4 linked regions of the Oryctolagus cuniculus genome follow. The protein of the gene in region 1 interacts with the protein of each later gene in a pairwise test. Links are inferred from orthologs where the notes say so. Each region holds a gene or a part of one and is shown on either strand. Other genes may lie near its edges.

Evidence for each region.
Region 2: the proteins of PRKG1 (region 1) and FAM124A interact in binary tests that used the Homo sapiens proteins (3 or more experiments, as listed by UniProt). The two-hybrid records come from large-scale screens. The link is inferred for Oryctolagus cuniculus from reciprocal best matches to the Homo sapiens genes PRKG1 and FAM124A.
Region 3: the proteins of PRKG1 (region 1) and IRAG1 interact in a two-hybrid assay, tested with the Homo sapiens proteins (2 studies listed by BioGRID). The link is inferred for Oryctolagus cuniculus from reciprocal best matches to the Homo sapiens genes PRKG1 and IRAG1.
Region 4: the proteins of PRKG1 (region 1) and ZNF646 interact in binary tests that used the Homo sapiens proteins (3 or more experiments, as listed by UniProt). The two-hybrid records come from large-scale screens. The link is inferred for Oryctolagus cuniculus from reciprocal best matches to the Homo sapiens genes PRKG1 and ZNF646.

Annotation. Positions count from the first base shown.
Region 1 is NC_091446.1:45,323,962-45,329,073, forward strand, and holds part of PRKG1 (cGMP-dependent protein kinase 1), read left to right. Parts: intron 1-1,476; coding exon 1,477-1,618; intron 1,619-3,147; coding exon 3,148-3,311; intron 3,312-5,112. UniProt on the Homo sapiens protein: Serine/threonine protein kinase that acts as a key mediator of the nitric oxide (NO)/cGMP signaling pathway. GMP binding activates PRKG1, which phosphorylates serines and threonines on many cellular proteins.
Region 2 is NC_091440.1:70,607,997-70,613,108, reverse strand, and holds part of FAM124A (protein FAM124A), read right to left. Parts: intron 2,960-5,112; coding exon 2,226-2,959; intron 1,985-2,225; coding exon of another isoform or gene 1,902-1,984; intron 1-1,901.
Region 3 is NC_091432.1:55,530,337-55,535,448, reverse strand, and holds part of IRAG1 (inositol 1,4,5-triphosphate receptor associated 1), read right to left. Parts: intron 999-5,112; coding exon 832-998; intron 1-831.
Region 4 is NC_091450.1:6,094,867-6,099,728, forward strand, and holds part of ZNF646 (zinc finger protein 646), read right to left. Parts: coding exon 1-4,862. UniProt on the Homo sapiens protein: May be involved in transcriptional regulation.

The DNA of each region.
Region 1 (5,112 bases):
TATATATATTTTAAAAAGGCAAACAGCCATGAGGGACTATGATAAAAATAAGCTCTGGGGGTAATATTTGTTGCACCTCATCAAAAACCATCTCCATGATTGTCACCTATGTTTTATCTCAGCTACCCCAATAGCTGATGTTCATATTAATGTTCTTAAATTATTAACTCAGGCTTAGCAACTGAGAGAGAAGAAAAGAACCTGTGTGTCTGTAAGGTTTATTTATGTATCTGAAAGGCAGAGTTAGAGAAAATATGAATCTGTCTGCTGGTTCACTCCCCAGTTAGCTGTAATGGCCAGGGCCAGGCTGAAACCAGGGTCTGGAACACTGTCTGGTTCTTCCAATGTGGGTTGCAGAGGCCTAAGAACTCAGGCCATGTTCGGGTACTTATCCAGATGCACTAGCAGGGATTTGGATCAAAAATGGATCAGTTGGAATGCAAACTGGTGCTCAAATAGGATGCTGGCACCTGAGGGGGTAGCTTAACCTGCTACCCTAGAATGTTGGCCTCAAACACAGTATATCTTAAGGAGTTCTATGAAAAACAAAAGCATTTAAAGCATAAAGGTCCTTCCTTAGCACTGAATGTTATCTCCTTTGTTCTAAGATTTATTTCACTAGTTCAGTCAATAATATGTACACTTGTATACACATATACCAAATATTAAAAAGTTGATGAAAAAAATTGAGATAAGTTTATTTTAGAGCCGAAGTATTTTGAAGTCATACTTTTTTCATAATATTCGTTTTCCATGAACTTTTTAAAGTATGCGGTATATATGAGTACATAATTATAGAGATGAGACAGCACTTTTTTGCTAAACAACATTGTCAGTTTTACTAATAAAGTGTCTCTTCCAGTTACCTTTTCTCTCTAATTGTTTTTCAGTGTCAGCCTTTTCTACTAATAAGAAGGCAGTAGTGCAGGAACTAGATCCGGTTGATCTGGATAACAGAAGTTTGAAAACAGGATTGCAATGTAGCTTGCAACACGACTGCATGGGTGGCGTGACAGCTGATTTCCAAGGGGACTCTTGGCAAACATGAGCTTTCCCTCCCTTTCTTATGAGTAATATTTGCGTCAGATTCAAAAACAAGCCTCCCGCCAGTCAGTGTGAATCAAATCATAATCTCCAACTCTGAAAAAAGATGGCCTCTCCTGCCCCTGATGTAACTCTGCCTTTCTAGATTGTAGTGGCTGCTGAGAGGAAGCCCCTAAGTCCACGGGTTGCATTCCTCTGCAGCCCTCTGAGAAGTTAGATTTACTACACCACTCAGAAGCGTAGAGAATTCATTGATTCGATCCTTGGATGCTTTATAATCCAAATTTGATGGTAATCATGTGGCATTCAGTCAGTAGGGCATTGGCCACTGGGTTAAATTTTGGCTCAGGAATGTATTTAAATGAGAAAAAAAATACCTTATTAGGGAAAGCAATGTCTCATGGACTTTTCATTCTATTTTCTATCTTTCAGAGGTTCATTTGAAGATTCTACAACCAGATTTTACACAGCATGTGTGGTAGAAGCTTTTGCCTATCTGCATTCCAAAGGAATCATTTATCGGGACCTCAAGCCAGAAAATCTCATCCTAGATCACCGAGGTTATGCTAAATTGGTCAGTGCATTTCACACATGGTTTCACACATACTTGTTCATACAGCTGTGTTTATTTGCTACCATTAACATTTGTTTTCCTTTTCAAAAAGCGGGTCCTGGAATTTTAGTTTAACTAAATATTCTTTCAAATTATGCAAAAGTGAAAAAAATCAACACCCTGAGCAAAACATGCTTTCAGGTACGCACTGGGAAACACATTTGCAGCAGGTGTTCACAGACCTGCAAGAGCTTCCCAGAGTCCTCCTTTCTAATCAGACTTCTACCATCCAAGGACAATAGATATTCTGTTATGGGAAACTGAAGCATTTTAATATTTAAGAATAGCACTAATGGAGAAAAAAATGAGCTCTATAGCTCATTTAAAAATAGCTAAAAATAGCTTTATAATAATATATAATCCAGGCTATGATGATGATGGTAACTGATGAAAAGCTCTAAAGATTTACTGTAGAAAGGAAGTTCTCTTCCTTAAAAATGGACAACTTTCGTGGACTTTGGATCTGAAATGCCTTCTTCTATTTTTAAACTTTGGGAATTTTAATCCAGAGTTGGGTTCTTATTTATTATTATTATTATGACAGGCAGAGTTAGACAGTGAGAGAGAGAGACAGAGAGAAAGGTGTTCCTTCCGTTGGTTCACCCCCCCAAGTGGCTGCTATGGCTGGTGCGCTACGCCGATTGGAATCCCGGAGCCAGGTGCCTCTCCTGGTCTCCCATGTGGGTGCAGGGCCCAAGCACTTGGGCCATCCTCCACTGCACTCCCGGGCCACAGCAGAGAGCTAGACTGCAAGAGGAGCAACCAGGACAGAATCTGGCGCCCCAACTGGGACTAGAACCCGAGGTGCCGGCGCCACAGGTGGAGGATTAGCCAAGTGAGCCGCGGCGCCAACCCAGAGTTGGGTTTTTAAAGAAATCAAATCAATGGCAGTAAACTGTAGACTCCCTCCAATCTTTTAAGGAAAAAAATAGATTGTCTGCATTTGAGGCCCCTCTCTCAACAGGTTTCCAGAAAAATGAAGGATGTATTTTCATTTTATCTCTGTGTATGTTTGCCAAGGGCAGTATTTTTGGTATAGTAGCTATGTCACTCACCTCCTTCAACAATCCAGTTGGCTCTCAAATACTTAATACAAAATGAATTATCAACTTCATCAAGTCCAGAAGAAATCATGTGTATTTAGGGAAGATGCTAAAAAGGCCTAAATTATAATTTTTAGTAAAGACAAAATGCTTTGATTATTCCACAACCTCTGTTGTCATACAGAAGAGAAAAATAAGTATTTCCAGAAACAAAAGGTCGCCTTTATTTTAATGATGTGAATTATACCCAGTTCTTAAGTTTAAGCTTTTCCCACTGAGGACGTTTGTTTGTTTGGGATGTAGATGATTCTGTTTGAAGATTATAATGACTTGCACTTGTTTTGATTTTTTTTTTTTAAGTATCATCAGTGTCCTTCAGTAAAATAACTTATTGTTTTACATCTTAATCATAAATGGCTTAAGTAGCTTGTTTTCTTCCTTTGTAAGGTTGATTTTGGCTTTGCAAAGAAAATAGGATTTGGAAAGAAAACATGGACTTTCTGTGGGACTCCAGAGTATGTGGCTCCAGAGATCATCCTGAATAAAGGCCATGACATTTCAGCCGACTACTGGTCACTGGGAATCCTGATGTATGAACTTCTGACTGGCAGGTATGGACACTCACAGCAAACTTCTAAGACAAGCAGACCACAAAAAACTGCAACACACACTGCTTTTAGTCTGATAAACTCATCTTAAACTTTTTTTTTTTTTTATTGACAGGCAGAGTGGACAGTGAGAGAGAGAGACAGAGAGAAAGGTCTTCCTTTGCTGTTGGTTCACCCTCCAATGGCCGCCGCGGCCAGCGCACTGCTGCCGGCGCACCACACTGATCCGAAGCCAGGAGCCAGGTACTTATCCTGGTCTCCCATGGGGTGCAGAGCCCAAGCACTTGGGCCATCCTCCACTGCACTCCCGGGCCACAGCAGAGAGCTGGCCTGGAAGAGGGGCAACCGGGACAGAATCTGGCGCCCTGACCGGGACTAGAACCCGGTGTGCTGGTGCCACAAGGCGGAGGATTAGCCTATTGAGCCGCGGCGCCGGCCTCATCTTAAACTTTATTTCACCAGGTTTCAGTAACATACTTCCACTAAACAAGCTTTAAAATTGGCCAAATGAGAGGCGGCTCACTAGGCTAATCCTCCGCCTTGCGGCGCCGGCACACCGGGTTCTAGTCCCAGTCGGGGCGCCGGATTCTGTCCCGGTTGCCCCTCTTCCAGGCCAGCTTTCTGCTGTGGCCAGGGAGTGCAGTGGAGGATGGCCCAGGTGCTTGGGCCCTGCACCCCATGGGAGACCAGGAGAAGCACCTGGCTCCTGGCTTCAGACCAGCGAGGTGCGCCGGCCACAGCGGCCATTGGAGGGTGAACCAACAGCAAAGGAAGACCTTTCTCTCTGTCTGTCTCTCTCACTGTCCACTCTGCCTGTCAAAAAAAAAAAAAAAAAAAAAAATTGGCCAAGTGAGGGCAATCAATGAAACATCAGTTTTTGGTCTTATTGCTATTCATTATACATATGTGATTGTGAAAGACCCAATGTCTACCTTTGAGGTATTTGGGTCTAGTCATTTAGCCAGCAATGTAAGTGGTAGCTAAATAAAATATCTAGGATCAACTTTATATAGAAGAGGACCTGTCAACAATTGTTAGGTCTAAATGAAATGTGAATGCTTTGCACATTTTTTGTCTGATATTACAATCAGCAACAACTACAAAAGACAGTAGATAAACCACAAAGTATAATACCACCACAGGCTTTTGAAGGACCAATATTTAGAGGAAAATTAATATATCACCATCACATATGCTGAGGACAGGAATAATATGATTAGGATGATCTATGGAGTTTAGGAGAGGGCTAGGTTTGTCCAGGGAGGCTTTTGAGGAAGATAAGCCTGCAGCTAGTCCTAAAATCAAGGTATAGAAAGAAAAGGAAAGGGCATTCCTGAGAGGCCCGGCTTAAAGCGATAGATAGTGAGCACAGGCATGGAGAAGGTGTGTGTAGAAAATAATGGGAGATTACGAGAGCCCCATTTCATGGATCATCACTGCTTGTGCCTGAGGGTCTGGATTCCAACTAGAGAGGGAACTAGTGAAATTTTCAGATAATGGAATGAGTGATGTGTATTCCAGCTTTTTTTAAAAAAAATATTGCAAGTTATATATAGAGAAAATTGGAAGAGGGTTGGGAAGGCCAATTTGAAGATCATTCCAACAATTTAGGTCTAGGAGGCAGAGAGCATACAACAGGGTAAAGGGTAGTGGAAAGGAAGGGGTAGGTTTTAATGAAGATGACTTGGTTGCGATGGTAAAACTGAGAGGAGTAATGTATAAAACACTTATACTAGTACCACTACCCCTGCTAAAAGCAGTTTTGCTTGTAAAAATGCCCATACATGGAAATTCAGTAGTACAT
Region 2 (5,112 bases), on another chromosome or scaffold:
ATTCACAATAGCTAAGACCTGGAACCAACCCAAATGCCCATCAACAGTAGACTGGATAGAGAAATTATGGGGCATGTACTCTATAGATTACTATACAGCAGTCAAAAACAATGAAATCCAGTCATTTGCAACAAGATGGAGGAATCTGAAAAACATTATGCTGAGTGAATTAAGCCAGTCCCAAAGGGACAAATATCATATGTTCTCCCTGATCGGCAACAACTAACTGAGCACCAAAGGGGAAACCTGTTGAAGTGAAATGGACACTATGAGAAACAGTGACTTGATCAGCCCTTGTCCTGACTGTTGATGTACAATGTAATACTTTATCCCTTTTAGTATTTTTTTTGTTCTAGTACTATTGGTTGAACTCTGTGATTAATGCACAATTATTCTTAGGTGTTTAAATTTTAACTGAAAAGTGATCCCTGTTAAATATAAGAGTGGGAATAAGAGAGGGAGGAGAGGTACAATTTGGGACATGCTCAATCAAATGGTGGAGTTAGAAACGTGCCAGGGGATTCCAATACAATCCCATCAAGGTGGCATGTACCAATGCCATCTCACTAGTCCAAGTGATCAACTTCAGTTCACAATTGATCACACTGATAGGTCTAAGAGTCAAAGAGATCACACAAACAAGACTAGTGTCTGCTAATACTAACTGATAGAATCAAAAAGGGAGAGAACGAACCAACATGGGAAGCGGGATACACAGCAGACTCGTAGAATGGCAGATGTCCTAAATAGCACTCTGGCCTCAGAATCAGCCCTTAAGGCATTCGGATATGGCTGAAGAGCCCACGAGAGTAGTTATGCATGGAAAGCCAGGACACTCTGGGAAAAAAAAAGAAGACCTAAATGAAAGATCTCTGCAAGTGAGATCCCAGTGGAAAGAATGGGGCCATCAAAGAAGGAGGTACCTTTCTCTGAAGGGAGGAGAGAACTTCCACTTTGACTAGGACCGTGTCGGAATAAGATCTAAGTCGGCAAACTCAAAAGGCTTCCATAGCCTTGGCAACTCATGGCTAGAGCCTAGGGAGATTACTGATGCCATAAACAAGAGTATCAAATTGTTAAATCAACAACAGGAGTCACTGTGTACTTATTTCTCATGTGGGATCTGTCCTTAATGTGTTGTCCAATGTGAAGTAATGCTATAACTAGTACTGAAACAGTATTTTACACTTTGTGTTTCTGTGTGGGTGCAAACTGATGAAATCTTTACTTAATATATACTAAATCGATCTTCTGTATATAAAGATAATTGAAAATGAATCTTGATGTGAATGGAATGGGAGAGGGAGTGGGAGATGGGAGGGTGCGAGTGGGAGGGAAGTTATGGGGGTGGGAAGCCTTTGTAATCCATAAACTATACTTTGGAAATTTATATTTACTAAATAAAAACAATATTAAAAAAAAAAGGAATGGATTTGTCTGTTAATTCCAGAAGGCGTGGGTCTGGAAGGCGTGTCTCAGGTAGGGCCAGGGGTGAGAGGTCCTGTCATCCACCTGTTCAATTCTATTCTACAGAGTAGTTCGTGATCTCTAATGAGTCTGGGACAACCCCTGGAAGGAGACGAGAGGGAAGGGCTGGTAATAAGCCAAGGTGCTAGCTGTGGAAGACCTGGGGCAGTGTGCTTCCTTATAATGTATCCACACACTCCTTCCCCATGCCTCCCTCACTGGCTCCTTCTTCAAGTGAGCCCAGCCTTCTGCCTAGGAATATAATGGTGGGAGGCAGGACAGGCCGGTGTGGGAAGGAGGAGAACATGCACTGGCTCCCAGTCATCAAACCCATGGGCGTCCTAAGAACACCTGGTGCCAACTCCCTACGGGGAGGGGCTAGATTCTGGAAAGCTCCCTTAATAAGTACTCGACCCAGGGGGTTAGAAGCTCACTCAATCTCCAGGAGCCCTGGGGTCTGCGCTGCTCCATCAAGGGGTGACAGAAGAGAACTGGGCGTGGCTTTGCCGAGGGACACCTGAAATGCAAAGTACCAGCTGGAAAGGCCTCTCAAGCCCCTCCGGGTTGTGGATGCGGTGTGGACAGCTTGACCTGGCCTGGGAGCCACCCAGAAGTCCCCATCTTCCCTTTGTCCTAAGGCTCACTCTGCAGCCAGTGGGAAGGTTGCTGGCAGAGCCAACCTACTGGCTTCTAGGCTCCCAAAGGCAAACGGACAGACAAACAGAGGGATGGACGGATGAACACGCGCCCCGGGGTACCTGCAGAAGAATCTTGTTCCCGTCGTGGTCCTCCGTCTGCCAGCGCCCCTCACTGATGGGGCTGCAGGGGTTGGGCAGGAGGGGCACCAGCTCGCCCATGTCCTTTACTCGGAACTCCAGCACGGAGGAGTCGGTGGGGACCGGGTTCTGGTCGCAGGGCAGCCTTTTCAGGGAGAACTGGATGTCCAGGTCCAGGTTGGAGAAGATGGGGAAGATGCAGAAGTCGGTTTTCCTCTGGCTGGGGCTCCGACGGAGAATCAGCTCGTAGAAGCGCAGGCTGTCGGCGTAGCTGTCGTGGCGACAGTAGATGGTGAAGCGCACGATCTCCTTGCCATAGTGCACGGGCCGGATCGCCCACAGAGGAGTCCCGGGTGCCAGCGTGAAGAAGTCCTGGCTGCAAGGCAGGTAGGGCAGGAACCTGCCGTGCACGCGCTCCGTGTGGTGGTGGCGCCAGGGCGGCCGCCGCAGCGTGCGGTGCAACTGCAAGATCTGCTCCTCGCCATACTCTTCCTGCAGGAACAGCACCACGGCCAGCGCCGGCTGCGTGCCCCTGGGGGACTTCCGCCGCCGCCCGCTAGAGCGCCGCTCTGACACCCGGAATAGCGGGAGGTCCGGGTGGATCCAGGCCAGGACCTTGTCAATGGCCTCCTGCAGGGGCCGCGACTCCCCTGGGTCCGCGATGATGTGGATGCTAACCAGGAACGGGTCTTGTGCCTCCTCCACCGAAAGCTCACCTGGGAGCATACACAGACACACACACACACACACACACACACACAGAATGAATGGATGCATGAACCAATGAAATTGTGATTATTGCATTAAGGTGTTCAGAGATGACACGTGTGGCCTTGGCAGGGAGAGAAGCCAAATTCTAATACAACTGACTCCACGATCTGTAATTTTCTGATTTCAAGGTCAGGTGCAAGAACTACTAGGGCAGCTCCCTAGTGGCCAAGGTTAGGAATGGTTTCCAAGCTGTTCAGTTTTAGGAAACCTTGGTCCTGCATCTGAGCAGGTGCAGCCGGGTAGGGAACATTTGACTTCCTGTTTATCTACTAGAGGACAGAAAGTCAAGTCTCAAAGGGGTAAGGGGCCCACTGGAAAATATGCTGCACTGCCACCTGCATGCCATTCAGTATTTCCTGAAAGAACTGCAGCATTTCCCTACAAACTCCCCCAGTACCACTGCGCTCCTGTGCTTTGCTTAGTTCACTGGGCTGTTCTATTCATTCATTTAACCAGCCCTTATGGGCTCCTTCCTATATGCCTGGCACTGACCCATGGGGCCTGCTGTGCAGGATGGAGAGACCTGTGCTTGCTCCCTGGGAGCTACTCCAGCTGAGAGTTCAAGCCCAGCCTAGGAAGGTGTCCTGCCCATAGTACCTCCCTGGCATGATCATCTCGCTGCTGGAGTCACAGGGACAACAGCCTGGTGGGCGCAAGTGCAGTGTTCTTGCTGTTGAAGTTTATGGGGCTGTGCTTTGGGGTGCGGTTTTGAAAGCTTGGTAGGCCCATGACTGCCCGCGTGGGGCTGCCTTTTGGGCCACTTCCTGGCTCATGTCCACCCGGAAGCCCACCCTTCCTGAATGGGGCAGTTCCCCGCCCTGTGGTCTCTGGCAGAGTATCTGGAAGCACTGGACTGCAAGTGTCAAGCTTCCTGTTTACCTTGGCAACACCTTCCCATGGGTGACATAGTTTGCTGGCCACCCTGGCATATTTCTAACTGATTAGCTATCCTTGGTAAAAGGCTTGCTCTTTTTAAAAGATGGCTTGGGGCAGGCATTAGGCCACCACTTTAGGATGCCTGCATCCAATACTAGAGGGGAAATTTGAGGCCCAGCTCCTGTGCTTCTGATCCAGCTTCCTGGGAATGTGCCCTGGGGCCCAGCAGATGACGGCTCACGTGCTTGGGTGTCTGCCACTCACAAGGGAGACCTGATGTAGTTCTGGTCTCCTGGCTTCATTCTGGCCCAGCCCTGCATGTTTTGGGCACCTGGAGAGTGAATAAGCAGATGGAAAGATTTTTCTTTCCTAGCTGTCTCTGTCTCTCTCGCTCTGCCTTTCAAGTAGATGAAAAAAATATAAAAACATTTAAGAAGATGGCTTTATTTGCCTTTGTATAAATTATATGACTCACTTCAGGGAAAATAAGGCATCTTTAGGCTAACTGTGATGGGCGGTGTCTGGAATCTAGACCTGTCTTCACATTGTCCACTAAGGGTATCTGGCACCGCAGGACCATGTGGTCCGTGATGTCTGAGAAATGTGATGTGCTTGAAAACCATGACCTCAGTTCACAGGATGAAAGGTAATCTTCATGGTAGGTAAGCAAGATACGCCAGGTGGGCTTATGGGCTAGTTTCACTAAGTGCACCTATAATAACACAGCTTCGATTTTGTTGGGTCAAAATCTGTCTGAATTTTCACCCCAGCTCTGACTGTCAGACATCTCACTGCAATACTTCAACTTGTTGTTACCTTCTCTCTTTCATTCACTCATTTGCACACTTCTGGAGCAGGCACTGTGAGTAGGTACCAGGTACTAGGGAAGCAAGGAAGCCGGCACCGCTGAGAACTATGGGAGTCTGTACCGACTCTGGTATGAAGTGTTCCTCTATAGTTGTGCAGTGTACATCCTGCACAGCCACAGGCAGCAGCCCTCTAAAGAACTGTGGCCACAGGTGAGACCTACACAATTTAGGTGGGAACACAGGCAGAAAAATTTAAAATCAGGGGTGGGCACTGTGGTGTTGCAGTTTGGGCTGCTTCATGGTGGTTTATGTCCCAGCTACTCTGTTTCTGGTCTAGCTTCCTGCTAATGCACCTGCCTGGCAGCAGATGATGGCTGAAGTGCTTGGGCCTCTGCCACCTGACAGGAGACCTG
Region 3 (5,112 bases), on another chromosome or scaffold:
CAGCAGAGAGCTGGCCTGGAAGAGGGGCAACCGGGACAGAATCCGGCGCCCCGACCGGGACTAGCAGTGGATTAGCCTATTGAGCTGTAGCACTGGTCGGCTGAGCAGGCCGGTTTTTTTTTTTTTTTTTTTTTTTTTTTTTTTTTTTTTTTTTTACAGGCAGAGTGGACAGTGAGAGAGAGAGACAGAGAGAAAGGTCTTCCTTTGCCGTTGGTTCACCCTCCAATGGCCGCCGCGGCCGGCGCGCTGCGGCCGGCGCACCGCGCTGATCCGGTGGCAGGAGCCAGGAGCCAGGTGCTTTTCCTGGTCTCCCATGGGGTGCAGGGCCCAAGCACCTGGGCCATCCTCCACTGCACTCCCTGGCCACAGCAGAGAGCTGGGAGCAGGCCGGTTTTTAAGTTGCTAATTTTGTATGGCCCATGAATGATACTATAAATGCCCAGTGGCCCTTCTGGGAGTAAAGATTCCCTACCCCTGAGGCAGATGAAGGAATGGGTTAGTGCTACGTAAAACCAAAGCAGTGACATCCCGGAGCATGCGAGCCCACGTCCCTCCTAGGAGACCGTCTTCCACGTGGAACCTGCTTCAGCCAGGGGCAGGATCCCACAGTCAAAGACTCACATCTTGCCAACCATCTGCAGATACCTGGTCTGTAGCAGAAACTTCCTGGCTGTGAATTTCAAACAGCCTCGCAGAGTGCAAAGGGCCAGATGCAGGAGAGGGAAACTCATTTGGGGAAAAAGTTACTGTAAAAATCCCAAACTGCTTGGTTGTATTTGCACCAATAAAATGATACAAGAAAGAAGAAAATATTTAAAAAAACAGAACAACCTGATCCCCATATTGTAGGAGATACTGTGCATCACAGCAGAAGAATCAGGCACCCGGGACGTGTACCTGTTGGCCAGGTTTTTGTCGGTTTCTCCTTCCGGTGAACTGACATCTCCGGTCAGGATGATTGTGGGTGGACTGTGAGCTATTTCTGCGGGTGCAGGGCCCTGGTTTAGAACAAAAACACAGACGGTGTTAGGCTGGGGGCAGGTAGGGTCTTCCTGGGGTTAAGCTAAAGTGTTTCTCCTAGCATCCTGAAGATGCGTGGCCGTCCTGTGAGGAGACCGGAGCAAGGTTTGCACCCCAGCTGGAGTGACGTCCAATTGATGAATAAAAATGCTGCATATTAAAGGTATATAACATGATGTTTTAACATACACGTGCATTGTGAGATAGCTACTGCCATCAAGCTAACTAGCATATCACCACCACCTCACACGGTTACTCTGTGTGTGCGTGTGTACGATACTCAGCAAGTTCAAGTACATCACACATTATTAGTAACTGTAGCCACCACACTGCCTGTCAGCACTCCAGAACGTACCAATCTAGAAATGCATGGATCTTTTCCCTTGGATCCATGCCTCCCACTTTGCCCTGTTGCCTGATCCCTGGGGCCCACCAGGCTCCTCTTCCTATGAATTTGACTTTTCCGGATTCCACATGAAAGTGAGATCATGCAGTAGTTGTCTGTGTCACCACATTCCACTTAGCATAACGTCCTCTAGGCTCAACACGGATGAGCCGCGTTGCACCAACATGGATGTAGTGTTACATTTCATTGTGTGTGTGTGTGTATGTGTGTGGGTGTGCAGCACACTTCCTTATGTGTTCATCCATTCACACACACTTCAGCTGTTTCCATGGCTTGGCTGCTGTAACACACAAATGTGGGGTTTTGGGGGACATTCAGAATGAAGAAATGGTAGGCAACTTCTTCATTGTCCAGCAGGCATTTGGCTGAGCTTAACACAGCCCGCTTTTCATGTGGTACTAGGGACGCGACAAGCCTTCCTTTACTAATTCTCACCGATCATGCAGGGAACGAATGGCACAGGGTCCTCAGACTGTGACTGACCTGGCTGGGAGGAACCGAGGCCAGCAGAAAATGTGGCACCCGCACAACCCGCATAATGAATGACAGTCCTCTCTTTTGGGTGATGATGACATTTCAGTAAAGGGGATTTATTCAGTGGGTAGTGGAATGCAGTTTAACTTTGCTTACTTTGTAAAAATGTAAAAAACATAAATAAATGTTCAACACATACAAATAACTCTGAAGATAGAACAAAAGTTATTGTCTAATCCTTGAATTCTTGAGGCATTATTTTATGATTGTTAACTAAGAGCCAAAATACCTCAACCTAGGGTGGTGAATTTGTAATTTGCATCAGGTGCTGCTGATGGTTGTGTAGATGATAAAATTCTGTCACGGGTCTAATAGGTATTTGTTGAGAGAAGAAATGAATGAATGAAATAAAAGCAGTAAGATACATAAGGATGCACCTGAACTGGTGTCCTCCCAGGCCTGAACAGATGGCAGTGTGTGTGTGTGTGTGTGTGTGTGACAATAGCATCACTGTCAACGCGCAGTATGTCTCTGGTTCTTTGGTCACCTCCTGTGGCAGTGTTTTCATCGCACACTGTTCCCAGGTATGGCTGGGAGGCCCTCTGGGGGTTCTATCAAATGTCCACTCGTGAACTTAAGACAGTGTCTGCCATTGACCTCTTCCTCCCCACCTCGCCAGCCGGCACCTGCTGCCATGGCTGCCAGGACCCTCTCGGCTGCCCTGCCGCCCACCCCAAAGAGCAGTCTGCTAACGCACACTCCCAAGCATACGGCCGCCACCTCCCACTGCTGGGGCAGTGGGTGCCAGTGGTCCCAAGAGAACCCATTCCTGGTTCTATTCTGACCTCAACTGGCCCACGCTGAAACCATGGCCTGGCGGCAGCCAGCAGCCTACAGCCCTCCCAGGGCCAGGACTGAGCTGTGTTCCTGAGCCCTCAGGTCATGGGTGGTGGTCCCTGGCAGGATGGGGAGGAAGCCCTCTCTCCTTTGCACAGTGCACCTTCTTGTTACATGGATGCTGGGCAGTGCATCTGGACTGCTTAAATCCCACAGTTTTTAGTGAAACTAACACTTCCCTCCCGTGAGCCCAAACACAAGGCCGTGTTCGGGGGACGTCTCTCCACGGGAGCCAAGCCAGGGAACAGGGAACACCATGTGCTGCCTCTGCACCAGATGCTTTTTTTGGAAGCCCAAAGCCGAACCCTTGAGAAGACACTCCTGGGGCCCTGTGTTCCCACCCAGGCCCACTTAGCACAGGAAACTGAGTGGCTGCAGTCAGGGGAGAAGCTCGGGATCTCCCACCTCTCAGAGCCCTGGGTGTGGACTTGAGCAGGGGAGGAGGAGTAGGAGGCAGCATTGCCTATTGGGAGAGCTGGACAGACCTGTGCTCAAATTCTCACCCAGCCACAGCTAGCTGTGTGTCCTTGGTGAGTCACTGAACCTCTCTGGGCTCTGTGATCATAAAATCTGACTCAGCAAGGCAGTGTGAGGATGAAAAGCAAAGTTGGAAAGCACCTGTCACTGGTGAGCTCAGTAAATGACCATTTCACTGTCTGTCTATTTTTTTAAGTTACCCACCATGCACGGAGGAGCAGCTTGGGATACAAAGACAAGGTCTTCTAGGACTCACAGTCCAGCAAGAGATACAGAGAACTGGGGCTTGGAATATAAGTCTCAGGTATAAGGTGGCAAGGGATGGATCGCAGGCATGAATGCTCAGAGGAGAGAGAAGGAAACTGTAGGGGAGGTGGAGAAGCCACAAAGTGAGCACTTGAGCTGGGTCTGGAGAGATGAACTCAGCCTGCTAGACAGAGCCATGAGTGCCAAGGTTTTTGCCTAAAGGAACAGCATTAGCAAAAAGGCATAACTAGGAATTATAGATGCACAGTGCAGCTTGATCCGGAGCATGGACTATGCAGCATGTGAGAGTGGAGAAATGAGAAATTAGAACAAGAGGTGGAGCCAGCTTCCGGAAGTCCCTGAATGCCACTCCAGTGAGTTTGGTCTTCACGGTTTTTGGCACCAGAGACCCTGAAGCTTAGGTGTGCGGATAACTTCGCTGCCCAAACAAAATACATAGAAATGTTGATAGCAGGTCCACCCATGAGCCCCCATGACTCACACTGGTGAGGCGATGGAAGAGGCCCAGTTACTAAAGCAACTGTCTTCCCTGTAGGAGGCAGAGGTAGAGAGACAGAGAAAGACAGATAAGAGGATGGGGGGGGCACTCTCATCTTCCAGTTCACTTTCCAAATGTCCATAACGGCTGGGGCTGGGCTGTGGGCAAAGCTAGAATCTAGGAGCTGAATCCAGGTCTGCCCCGTGGGCAGCATGAAGACAATGACTTGAGTCATGACTGCTGCTGCTTCCTGGAGTCTGTGTCAGCAGGAAGCTGGAGTCAGGAGCCAGAGCCAAGGGTGGCCCCCAGATTCTCTGACTGGGGGCCCAGGCATCCTAACCCGGGTCCTGAGCACCCCCACCCTGGGCCACCAGAAATGTTGAGGAGTTCACTGGTGAGTTGGAGCTCACTGTTCACTTGGTTGGCCAAGGTGGAGTAACAGGAAGTCAGCCTGATGCTGGTGGCTGGAACCAAGACTGGCGGACCCGTCTCATGGTCCCAGGGCTCCATTCCCTCCAAGAACACAGATATTTGTCTTTCTGTCAAGGACCCCTCCTGGGAGAGATGCCCAGGGAACTTCTCCCTAAGCAATGCTCATTCCACAAGAGTATCACTTCGGGGGCTGGTGGCGAGCTGGCTGCCGTACTCCTCCGTTCCCATCACAGTACGGGGGGCAAAGTCCTGCTCTGTCTCAGATGAAGGGGACACTGATGAACTGAGATGATGAAAATGCATACTCTGGGCCGGCGCCGTGGCTCACTAGGCTAATCCTCCGCCTTGTGGCGCTGGCACACCGGGTTCTAGTCCCGGTCGGGGCGCCGGATTCTGTCCCGGTTGCCCCTCTTCCAGGCCAGCTCTCTGCTATGGCCCGGGAGTGCAGTGGAGGATGACCCAAGTGCTTGGGCCCTGCACCCCATGGGAGACCAGGATAAGTACCTGGCTCCTGCCATCGGATCAGCGCGGTGCGCCATTGGAGGGTGAACCAACGGCAAAAGGAAGACCTTTCTCTCTGTCTCTCTCTCTCACTGTCTACTCTGCCTGTCAAAAAAAAAAGAAAGAAAATGCATACTCTGATAAGTGCCACAGGGCCCGC
Region 4 (4,862 bases), on another chromosome or scaffold:
GACGCGCCCGTGGCCCTCCAGCCGGGCAGCTGTCCGGAAGGCCTTGCCACAGATGCTGCAGCGATGGCGCTTGGGGTCCGTGTGGGTCCTGCCATGGTTCTTGAGAGACAGCAGGTTGGGCAGAAGCTTGGGGCAGAGGGAACAGGGGTAGAGCCCAGTGGTGTGGGCCTTCTGGTGGTTCAGCAGGCTGCCCGCATGGCGGTAGGAACGCCCACACTGTGCGCAGCGGAAGGGCCGCTCCCTGTCTTCAGCCGGCGTGGGCTGCATTCTCTGCCTCCCACCAGCCCGCTCGGCATTCTCCTTGGAGGGTTCTGCTGGGGCCTCCTGAGCCTCCCCTTGCTCAGGGAGCCCCGGCTCTCCTTGTCCCGTCCCAGCCGCCTCCTCCATCTGGGTTGGCACCTGACTCTGGTCCTGGGCATGGGTCTGTAGGTGGTTGGCCAGGTCATGATGGTACTGAAAGGCCTTGTCACAGTCAGGGCAGGCAAAGGTCTGGGCAGCTAGATGGTTAGTGGCCACAGGACTCAAGGACTCCCTGTAGCAATGCAGGCAATTGAGGCTGTGGTTCAAAAGGCCGTCGGGCTGGCTGTAGGCTTTGCCGCACCGGCTGCAGGAAGGAGGAGACTCTGGCTGGCGCTGGGAGCTGCCGTCCCCATCCTCCCAGCCATCCGTGTGATTCAGACTGGGTCCATTGGTCTGGCCATTACCGACGTGGCAAGGACTCCTGGGATCATCGTCCTCTGACTTGTCTTCTGCCTTGGTTGGCACCTGACCCGGAGGAACCCAACCTCCCTTGTGATTCACCAGGCCCCCGGCTCCATCTGCCTTCCCCGAGCCCCATGACAGTGGCTCTGTGGCTTCTGGACCCGCTGCCTGAATGGCGCTCTGACTGAGCTCCCCAGGCCTTGCAGCTCCAACCTCCTCCAGCCGCGGCCCTGACTCAGTCCCACCCGATCTGTCCTGCAGACCCTGGTTGTCAGCCAGGTTCCCCTTGCTGCCAGCGGAGCCATCTGGACCTCCTGGGCCAGTGGGCAGCTCTCCTTCGGTCTGTTGCTCATGCTCCCGCAGGTGCCGCTCCAGAGATCCCCGGCCAGGGAAGCCGCGACCACAGAGGGCACAGCGCACAGCTGCCCGCCGGGCCCGACCGGCCCGCCGCCGGCGACTCTCAGAGTGCAGCCTCTGATGGTCCTTCAGAGCCATGCGGTTGGAGTAGGTCTTGGGGCAGGCAGGGCAGCTGTACTGGCCTGTCTCGTGGCTGCGCCGATGGTTCAGGAGGCTGCCGGCATGGCGGTAGGTCCGGCCGCACTGCCCACACCGGAAGGGCCGATCTTCCCGAGCCAGCTTCCGGGCGCCCCCGCCGCCTCGCCGCTCGGCGTGCACCCGCTGGTGGCTGGCCAGCTGTTTCCGCAGGCGGAAGGCCTTCCCACACTCACTGCAGCGGAAGCGCCGGGGGTCGGCGTGGATGCGCCTGTGGTTCTTGAGGGACATGAGGTTGGAGAAGCCCTTGGAGCAGGCCTGACAGCCGAAGTGGCCCGTCTGGTGGCTCTGCCGGTGATTGATGAGGCTGCCGGCGTGCTTGTAGGAGCGGCCGCACACCTCACAGCTGAAGGGCCGCTCAGAGCTGGCCTCAGTCTGACAGCCTTTCTCGGCTGTCTCCAGCCTCGGCTCCACCTCCTCCTTCACCGTCGTCTCCTCCCACGCCTCTTCCTTCACCTGCGTCGCCTCTGCCAGGGGCTCCGCCTTAAGCTCCTCCTGGAGCTTCCCGGCTTCCGCCTGCTCCGCCCCCTCCTCTGCCACGACCTGGGGCTCCGTGCTGCCCCCTGCCTCCGGGAGGGGCCGCACCTGGGGCTCAGAGCCTTTGCAGCGGGGGTGGTTCCGCAGGTGATTCCGGTAGGCGGCCAGGTTGGGGTAGCAGCGGGAGCAGACGGGGCAGCTGAAGTCTCCAGTCTGGTGGATCTTGCGGTGGTTCACCAGGCTGCCCCCGTGGCGATAGGTTTTGCCGCACTGGTTGCAGCGGAAGGGGCGAGGCTGGGCCTCAGGCAGACTTTCTCCGCCCTGCACGCCAGCAGAGCCATCTGCAACTGTGCCAACTACTCCCTCCTCAGACTTCGCATCTCGACCCTCTCCAGAGACAGAGGTCTCCGTGCCCTCAAAGACAAGGTCTGTAACCATCTCCACAGCATCACCGGCTGCTCTCAAGGGGCTGGGCACCTTCTCCACGGTATTCTGAGAGTTCTGACTCTGGTGGTGGCGTTCCAGGCTCCCCAGGTCATCGTAGGTCTGACCGCAGCAGCCACAGATGTGCCCGTAGCCTGCTCCATCCAGCGCCTCCACCTCGCGCTGCAGCTGATTCAGCAGCTCTGCCTCCGAGACCTGCAGCGGAGGACTATGGGTAGAGGTTGCTTCTGCGGCTCCTTCCTCCTCCCCCTCCTCCTCCTCTGAGCCCTCAGTCGTGCCGGAGGAGTTGTGGGCCTGGCGCTGGTGAAGCCTATAGCCGGCCCGCCCAGGGAAGATCATGCCACAGAGGCAGCAGAGGAAAGGCTGTGCTGAGGCCACCTCCCCTGGCCCGTGGCTCTGGAAGTGGCCGCGCAGGGCTGGCAGAGAGTCAAACTCCTTTGGGCAGAGGGAGCACTGATAGATGCCTGGTGGGTGACAGGGCCTGTGGTCCAGCAGGCCAGTGGCATGGGGAAAAGAATGCCCACAGTCAGAACACGTGTGAGGGACCTCGGCCTGCCAGCCAGCGGCAGCCTCGGCACAGTGTGAAGAGGGCACCGGCTGGCCAGTGGTCACTCTCTCTCCATCCGCCGTGCTAAGGCCATCACAGAAGCGAGTCTCGTTGCATTCCCCACCGCCTGGGATGGCCAAGTTGTTGAGGTGACAGGCCTCCCTCCCTTCCAGTCCTCCCTCGGGGCCTTGGCTCTCTTTGTCACCCTGTGAACAGGGCTCACCCCTTTCCAGCCCACATTTCCCTGCAGGTTCTGCCTGCAGACGGTCCCCTTCACTTTCCAAGTTGCCTCCAGCCCCAGCAAGGCTTTCTCCCGAAGGCTCTTGGGCAGCGTGCAGGCCCTCGTCATCTGCCAACTCCTGGGCCCAGGTCTCCCCTGACGGGAGTTTGGCATCTCCTCTACCAGCACTGCCTGCCTGCTTCCGATGCCGCCTGCTCCGCCGCCGACTGTGGCGTCGCAAATGGTTCTTCATGGCAGCCATGGTGTGGAAGTGCTTGGCACAGGCCTCACAACTGAAGTCCCCCGTCTGGTGGGTCTGCCGGTGGTTGATAAGGCTGCCTGAGTGGCGGTAGCTCTTTCCACAGTCTCGGCAGGCGAACGTCCGAGGTGGTGATGCTGTGGTCTCTGCCCTGCTGTTCTCTCCTCCCCCGAGGCCATGGGTCAGGCTGTGATGTTCCAGGCTCTTAGGGTCTTCAAAGAGCATCCCGCAGATGTTGCACATCTGGGCTGCCGTCCTATCTGCTGCTAGGAGGGGGCCAGAGGCCGCCTCCTCAGGTGTGCACACCCGCCCCTGATCTGCTACCACAGGATGAGGGGGTTCTACCTTAAGGTGGCTGGGAGGACTCTCAGTCCTTGGGTCTGCACTTCGGCGAGCAGCTTTGCAATGCACGCGCACGTGGTTGCGCAGGGCCATGAGGTTGGGGTATTTGCGGGGACAGAGTGAACACTGGTACTCCCCTGTCCGATGGCTGTGCCGGTGATTCACCAGGCTCCCCCGGTGCCGGTAAGCCCGGCCGCACTCATTGCACTTATAGGGCCGATGATCCAGGGTGGGGGGCGGGACCTCTTCCTCTCTGTGGGTGCTCTCAGCTCCTAGCAGGGGAGCTGGCGGCACTGATGGCTGCCCATCTTCCCCCATTCCTTGTCGGGGCCTGTGATGGGCACGCACATGGTTTTTGAGGGCAGCGGCATTGAACAGCTGTTTAGAACAGACTGAGCAAGGGTAGACCCCTGTTTGGTGGCTCTTGCGATGGTTGATGAGGCTCCCGGCGTGGCGGTAAGTCCGGCCACAGTCCCCACAGCGGAAAGGCCGGTACTCCTCCAGGCCACTCTCGTCCAGCTCCCCGGAGCCATTCAGCATCTGAGTACCAGGGAGCCGGGCCTGGCTGGTCTCATCCGTGTGCCCGTTTGTGGTGGGCGGCCCTTTCTCCTCCCATGGCTGCTCCTGCCTTTCGCCCTCATGGGACTGCTGATGCTCCAGCAGCTCCTGGGGGAGCCGGAAGGCACGAGGACAGCGAGGACAGTGGTAAGGCCGATACTGGGCATGGAGTCGGGAGTGGTTCTTCATAGCCATGAGGTTAGAGAACTCCTTGAAGCAGATGCTACAAGGGTAGACGCCCAGGGTATGGCTCTGGCGGTGGTTGGTGAGGCTCCCGGCATGCTTGTAGGTCTTGCCACACTGACCACACTTGTAGCGCCGCTCCTCCTCCGCAGGAGGGGACTGGGGAGGCAGCTGGCCCTCTGCGAAGTTCACTACTGACTCAGCCAGATACTGTTCCAAGTTGCTAAGGAGGCTGCTGGCTGGGGTGGGGAGAGGTGGGGCTTGGGCGGAGTTGGTGGTCGGCCTCCAGCCCTCTGTGCCCTCCTCAGGATCCCGCTGGCTGTCCCAGCTTTCTTTTTGTCTGGCGGGTGCATCTTCCCAAGTGCCTGCAGGCGCCCTGGGGTCGGGTCCAGACTCAGAGTCAGCTGCCTCTTCAGTGTGTTTGGCCTGGTCTCCCCAGCCTTCCCCGGGGCCAAGCCCCTGGCCCCAGGAATCAGCAGACACTGCCTCACGCTGGAGGTGGGGAGCGGCTTCCCTGGGGCGGGGGGGCCTGCGCCTGCGGCGGCCCTCAGGAGCGTGAGTCCTCATGTGGCTCTTGA